Mytilus edulis: one gene and its partner. The protein of the gene in region 1 purifies or fractionates together with the protein of each later gene. This does not show direct contact. Links are inferred from orthologs where the notes say so. Each region holds a gene or a part of one and is shown on either strand. Other genes may lie near its edges.

What was found.
Region 2: the proteins of signal recognition particle 9 kDa protein-like (region 1) and signal recognition particle subunit SRP54 purify together in Homo sapiens (co-immunoprecipitation; 4 studies listed by BioGRID and IntAct, counting the BioPlex papers as one, with this or other methods). This does not show direct contact. The link is inferred for Mytilus edulis from reciprocal best matches to the Homo sapiens genes SRP9 and SRP54.

What each region holds. Positions count from the first base shown.
Region 1 is NC_092346.1:35,394,009-35,397,947, forward strand, and holds the start of signal recognition particle 9 kDa protein-like, read right to left. Parts: upstream 2,630-3,939; 5' UTR 2,540-2,629; coding exon 2,468-2,539; intron 766-2,467; coding exon 697-765; intron 1-696. UniProt on the Homo sapiens protein: Component of the signal recognition particle (SRP) complex, a ribonucleoprotein complex that mediates the cotranslational targeting of secretory and membrane proteins to the endoplasmic reticulum (ER).
Region 2 is NC_092346.1:4,738,804-4,742,742, forward strand, and holds the start of signal recognition particle subunit SRP54, read right to left. Parts: upstream 2,644-3,939; 5' UTR 2,335-2,643; coding exon 2,257-2,334; intron 540-2,256; coding exon 448-539; intron 1-447. Other genes in the region: acyl-CoA:lysophosphatidylglycerol acyltransferase 1-like, read left to right, coding at 2,931-2,933. UniProt on the Homo sapiens protein: Component of the signal recognition particle (SRP) complex, a ribonucleoprotein complex that mediates the cotranslational targeting of secretory and membrane proteins to the endoplasmic reticulum (ER).

The DNA of each region.
Region 1 (3,939 bases):
TACAGGTAAAAATATTATATTTTTTGTTTAAGTCTCTTTTGGGTTAGGTGACTGTCAGCAGTCTTTGGAGGTCATCTAAATAGTTAATTAGATGGTGTCGATTCTAAAATATACACCAAATTCGGATATGTTTTATTGAGTAAATGTATTTCAACTATTTCAGACTTATTGCAATTTGGATATGAGTTTTAGTATATTTTTAAATGATAAATCATATATGAGAATTTGAGTCAAATGGTCACATGAATTTGACAGTTATGCTACTTTCAAGAGAAAATACTAATAGGATAGTGTTTTTTTCTCATCCTTTTAAGCAAAGTTCAATAGGTTAGTTGGATAATGTCATAATAAGATTTTATCATTGACTTAAATATGTATGTTCATTTGTCAGATCTATGCAAATACTCCCACGTGGTTGGCAATGTAATGGAATTTGATGCGACTGTCATACAAGTGAGAGGTTTAGTTAGCTATAAAACCAGGTTTAATCCACCATTTTCTACATAAGAAAATGTCTGTACCAAGTCAGGAATATGACAGTTGTTATCCATACATTTGATGTGTTTGAACTATTGATTTTGCCATTTGATTTGGGACTTTCCTTTTTGAATTTTTCTCGGAGTTCAGTATTTTTGTGTTTTTACTTTTTTCTAATACACCTAAACTATACATACTTAAAGAATAAGAAAAACCTACCACTGAGTCATCTGTGATCTTTACATTTAATTTTCCATCTGAGTGTCTGTATTTGGTAACAAATCTACACTGTTTAAAAATGGAGATAACTTTGATTAAGTCATATAAACAATGTACAGTACATGTACATGTATGCAACAAAACTAATTTAGGAAACCCTTATCATTCTCTGAGAGAAGAATACTAATAGATTCTGATTATAGTTGATCATCTCAAGGAGATTGATTTTCTCTCCGCTTGAGCAGGTACGGCGAAAGTGAGAAAAGCAATTGAGTTGAGGTGACCAATGATAATCTGTTTAATTTCATTAGCTTAGTTTTTAGCGATAATTTTCATATCACCAATTCTTCTGAGAAAGGAAATTATAAGTCAGTAAGATCAAAAGAAAGTTTCGTAAAATAGCAATAATCTTTAATATTGTATTGTGGGGAAGATGGGAGTCTACTCCTGTATTCAGAAGAAGATGATGAAAAACAAAAAAGAAATTATATACATGTTGTACATGTATTACATTAGACCAAATAATTAAGACGTCTGGAAAGGCTATTATGCTTTTTGCTTTAAATTTTACACCTTACAGTTACCTTAGAGTTGAAAAGTGAAAAAGTAGAATAGCCTTTCTAGACCTCATAATTATTTCGACTAGTATTAGTACATGTATATATAACATGAATCCGGGTCCCTTCGTGCCCAATCACATTTGCACCAAGGCTACCAGTATTTTTATTTTTGTGTTGAATAATTCTTAATCATGTTTTGGTGAGTGTATTATTATAAATATTTTTTTCATGGTTTCTTGTAAATAAAATGCGATTCTGAGATCAAAGGAGCCAAGCTGTTATGAACAAAAGCTTTTATAAACAATTATCTTTCATGTTTTTTATTTAAAATCTTCTGTTTTACTCATACCAGAGACATCTCTGCTCATACCAAGCTAGTCCGAGATTACTCTGATGTCAAACGGCTGTTTTGTCAGACAAGCTGGGGCCGTGCCCCAGCTTGTCTGGCAAAACAGCCTTTGACATCAGAGTAATCTCAGACTAATACCAAGCTAAATACGAAATACATGCAGTATTTCCATCAAAGTAAGTTAAAACAAAAATCATGAGTTTTAAACACTCAACAATATCACCAAATTCAGCTGTTTTATAGTTTTAAATAAAAACAATTGACAAGTCTCATACATTTAACATTAAATAATTAATCATCAAATTAATAAATAATATTTTAATTCCTCAAATTGGAATAAAATTGGGTGTGAACGTGTAGGGTGCAAACAGCATTCGGGGCCTAACATGTGAGGTGCGAACGTGTAGGGTGCAAAAGTATATTGGAACGGACCTGATACGTATAACATCCTTATATAATCTGCTACATTACACATTAGGCACAGGCACTTGTTTCTATCCATAGGAAGGTCAACTATCCATATAAATAGTCGACCTTCCTATGGATTAGTCCGAGATTACTCTGACGTCCAATGGCCCCAGCTTGTCTGGCAAAACAGCCGTTGGATGTCAGAGTTATCTCGGACTACCTATGGATAGAAACAAGTGCCTGTGGCATTAGGTCATCATCTCAACAAGAAAAAGAAAATGTTCACTTTTACTGTTACAGAGTGATCAAACTTACATGCAACCACACATACAAGTTATTGCTATAGTCATTGTTGTGACTGAGTGTTAAAATATGAAGATACATACATGTACTTTTAGTTAATACTATTTTTCTTTGGCCTACGATAGACAGAGACATTTATAAATAGTCATACCTTTGAAGGATCTTTCAGATATAACCGTTCTGCAGCTTTCGAAAAGTCATCCCATGATGTTATGTACGTCATTATGCCTGAGAACACTAGAAATATTGTAAATAAACAGCTGTCTGCTCTCAAAGCATGTACGTCAACAAACCGGAAGTAGTATAAAACGGGTGATGTAGAATGCAAATCATGATTTGAAACGAAGTTCGGAAAAGATTTAAACCCATTCCGCGTATTTATTATTATAATACATAGTTAAAGGTGGCATCAATGATTTGTATATATAGTACTATACAAATCCTTGGTGGCAATGGAGCTATACATAATGAAATATGATAAAACAATTAAAATAAAAGAAAAGCAATACATGAACCTAAGACCGCTGAATGCCTGGTCACCAAAAGATTGTTGCTGAATTTGTGTTTGCTTTTGAATTGAAATAATTGACTGTGAATAGAAGAAGCCAGTTGAAAGTATATATTTACAGCTTCTATTTGAATAGTTATTCTAAAGCTCGACTATTTTAATTTATTACTTGGGAATGTACATAATTTTTCCGATTATCTATCTATAACCCTTTGGCAAATCCTAATTTCTACTAACCGGATGACTTATCGGCAAATTGCACAAACCTATCGCAATATAAATTTATGCACTCAGTTTGCTTTATAATCTGGAATTCTGGATGCATTTATTTCATCTATCATATCTTTATATTTAAACAAAAATATTAGAAACAAAAGAGAAACAACTCGAGGTCAGAATACCGTTAGTAATGATGACAGTTTAAGTCCGCGGCTAGAATGAATTTTAAACACAAGAAAATTATGATCAATTATAAACTCGCTTTTACCTCAATAACATAAGAATACATATTGACAATCCAAATGATTGGTCCACGTAACCACGTGTACAACTATACACATAACAAAAACCGCCAAAAACATACTGTTCTTAAAAAACGTTACCATAAGACAACATGATTTTCCGCCGCTATGCTCCGAAACGCGGAAAAATACAATTATCATCTGATAAGTGTTATGATACGTCTCGATCAATTCTTGACTTTCCTAAATTTGTCTTGATTAGTCCTGACATTCTTGATAATATGTCTGAAGAGTTTTTGACACATTCTTGCCAGTCTTAAATAGTATTAAAACATTTGACTTTTCAACACTTTACAGAAGTATTCCACATTCCAAACTAAAAGACAAATTGAAAGAGTTGGTATTGCCTCCGGGTGCGGGAATTTCTCGCTACACTGAAGACCTGTTCGTGGCCTTCTGCTGTTGTTTTTTCTATGGTCGGGTTGTTGTCTCTTTGACACATTCCCCATTTCCATTCTCAATTTTATTGCTTTGTTTAATTCATGTGTACTAAGTTTCAAGTTGATTGGACTTCAACTTCATCAAAAACTAGCTTGACCAAAAACTTTATCCTGAAACTCGCACTTTCATTTTCTATGTTCAGTGGACCGAGAA
Region 2 (3,939 bases), about 31 Mb from region 1:
GTTCAAGACTGACAAATATTACCGTTTCCGGACTCTTGGTCATTACATGTATTAAAGGTAAAATAACTGTGTATTTGACTGTAAGATGGTTAAAGAGTTGTTTTAGAACTATAGTATAAAATGAATAACTTTGCCGTCATACATGTCATACATGTGTCTGTAATAGTCATGATACATGGTATATATTCTAACTACTGAAAAAAAGTCTAAAGAAATCAACCGTTATAACCCTGATCACATTTCCCCTTTGTTGCATTAATCCATGCTTGTTTATCATGTGATGCTATTGAGACTTAAATTTTGGTCTTAAAATGTCAACATAATATAAAATTGAGAATGGATCCTTGACATGGAAATTGAACATGAATCCTTAACATGCTTAAAGAGGAAAATGTAGTCAACCGACTACTGGCACAATGGTCATTTCAAAGTTTAATATCTACATACCTGACATTTTCTCTCAACCGTTTGACTAAGAATATGTTGACATCAGCCTCCAATAGAGCTGCACATATCTCCTTAAGCATGCCATTTAAGACCTGAAACACACATGAATGAAAAAAAAGTTGTACCTGGCTTTTATTAAATTTAATAACTGTCAATATTTATCATGTTTATAAGAAATTATAACCCATATTCATGATATTTTTTAAATAACTTTAATTTTTCATTACCATAACCAAGTATTTCAATTTAGGTTTTTATTCATCTACATGTATATATACCTTGCCTCAAGCGCTGGACATCATGGGTTCATTAATTGTAATCCCCTCCGACAAAGTCCAAGTCAAAGTAAACATCATGTAAAGACTTAAAAATTGGTATTTGCTACTTCACACAGCTTATGACTGGTCAGGCTAGAGTCAAAATAATGTGTCTGGGTAGAATGATATGTCTTACCTTTGAAAACTATGTCTAAAGCAGTGATTTTGCTAGTGCTTGTCATTTTTGTAATTTACGAAACGGTTTCAAAAAGACGAAAGTATTTCAAATTAATTTTGTCACTTAAATTTTGAAAGTGTAAAAAGATTTTAGCATTAAAAACCGAATGTATTAAAAGTTATCTATTCTTGATTTGCTTACAACATAGTCGGATCCAGGGGGCTGGGGGCCCGGGCCCTCCTTTTGTGGGAAAAATTTGGTTAATTATATAGGGAATCACTGAAGCATGACTGAGGCCCCCCCCCCCCTTAGGTCAGTCAGCAGGCCCCGCCCCCCTTATAAAAAGTTCTGGATCCGCCACTGTCCAACCTCCTTACAGTCATTTTAATTGTTCCAAAAAAGATTTTATACAAATCCAACTTAATAGAAATGTTTCCAAAATATCGGTTTAGCATTTAAAAAAATAAATGATTATGCAGTGTTGCAAGTTAATTTCTGCTGTGATTCCTTGTTTAAAAAATAAAAATAAGAAATCCAACTTTTGTTGATCAGGAATGTCCCCTGGAACAAACTAAAGGCTAATTGAGAACTAAATTTCCAGATCCCATGTAAAATATATTATAATAAAGGCCAAACTAGTCAAATAAAAAATAACTGCCAAGCATGCCTATAAGTCCTTTCAAGTTTGGCAAAGTCAAAGATGTAGTTAGTAATATACATCCTTGGTCCCTTGATGTTACACAAAATAAGGTTGATTTAAATAGCGTGCAAAAGTGACTCAAGCCCTCAAAGTCCTAGATTAAACCATGATCTATAGCACATTTAAAAAGTTGGGTTCAGCCAATCAGTCTAGCTACCCATTGCCTATTGATGTATTACTTCCATGAAATGGCACCCCATTGATTTAATTGACATTAAAACAAAAGTAAACCATACCATCAGCATATCTGTGTATCCCTTTTTATAGGAAGAGACGCCCTCCTTATGGTATACATGGTACAACAATGTATAATTAAAATACATTTTGCCATTTGTTTACCTTTCTTTCTGAAAACAATTATATTTTCTTCTCTTTGTAATAAGAAAATCCATTACAGAAACATCTTTACAAAGTATGGCCGAAACAACTGTAGCCGAACTAGCAGTATAACTGGAACAATTGCATTGATCATGAGGATATCCTCATCTTTAAAACTTCTACCAAATACTTTGTATTGGTATTCTACATATAGCCTCTTATCATTAGGACCATCACCATATGTAATGGAGAAATTTAAACACACTGTATCGGCACAGATTTAAATTTTAGTATTTATTTACACTGTTCCAGTATGGACGAGATGGGACTTACCCCCAGAAAGTTATAAACCTTACCTCTTCATTTATTATTGTAGCATTGCTGAGAGATTTCAGCGCTGAGGTAATTTTCCTCCCTAAATCTGCAAGAACCATGACTGTTTCTTAAACTTTTTTGAAATTTTAAACTGGTATTTTCTCTGATGTAAGACTTTATGGCACAATATGGAAAGTTTCCAGATATATTTCTGCCCAAAAATAAATGCACTTTCGTAATATTTGAAAAAAATGCTTTTTTGTAACTTTAGGTTGTATAATTATCTTTATATTTGTGCTTCTATATTTTCATCTAAAAACCAATGAATGGTTCATTTGTGTCATTTTGTCCAGTTTTCGTTCTCTCAATCTCAATTTTGACACGTTTAGCAGCAGTTACTTCCCCTTATAGACCGGTGTCCAATGAATTTTTTCTTAATAAAATTAATCACTTATAATAATAAGTTTCTTATAGATTTGATGAGTTTCTTATGAAACAAAAAATAATAGAGAGAAAAATTAAATCATCAATCATAATAATTCAGATAATTTCAATAATTTAAACTTTGAAAATGAGGTGGAATTTCGTTTCCGGTCTAAATTTATGATGCACCGATACAAGGGGAGAGAACTCAAACTATGCCATGAGATCAATTTCGAGTACTTAAAAAATATCCTTGATCATGAGATTATGATTCTTTAAACATCAATTCAAAATGGTAAATAACGATGTCTAGTTTTTTTTTATGATATTTGGTATAAAAATGGATAAAAGACATGTTTGATTGAAATTTTGCACAATAATTGATAACATCATCACTGACATCAGCTGATGTTTTTTTAATTGAAATCAATAAAGTTGTATTGACTATCAATTACAATAACAGTGACAGTTTCCATCATCATATACTCGTATTTTTGCTAACTCTTAAAAAGCTGCTGTGATGCAGTGTCTTTAGATTTACACAAAACGCATAAATAAAATTTCCTCAAGTCATAGACCGGTGCTTCCTGTTCCAAATAATTATGATGTCTTGATAGGTTATTATTTTTTTTTGCTTTAAAGCATTGTTTCTTGAGTCCAAGATTACTCTGACATCCAACGGCTGTTTTGAAAAGCTGGGGCCATGGGACATCAGAACTTGTCCCATATAATTTAAAAGATGATAATTGCCGGTCCCAACTGGATGTGTAACAAAAAATATGTTCCGGCGTGACATTTGTTCCGCTGGAACTAATTTCATAGGAAATATGTTCCGCCGGAACTTATATCACAGAAAATATGTTCCAGCACTGTAAAATTTGTTCCGGAACTAATTTTTTGACCAAATATGAAATAAGTTCCGGAACAAATATCATAGCTCCATGAATTTTGTTCCAGTTAATATTAAAAGTTTTAAATAAGTTCCTGTGATATTAGTTTAAGACCAATATGTACATATTTCAAAGAAATCAATGAATAAGTTCTTCTCAAACCTATTTTCACTGAAATAAGTACCTTTGCAACATATTGCACAGCGAAACATTTTCTTGTTACACTTAAATTATAAAGCAAGCTAAACATGCTAAATGCTGTACTGAGTGTGCTGGCATGGGATACATGTGCAATTATTGTAGACATGACTGTAAAGTTCTACAGGATAAAGCGATGGTAATTTATCATAATTTGTATCTATGTTTTATGTGGTATTCCTCCTTGGTTCCTGTTAACTGTCATGGCCCTGT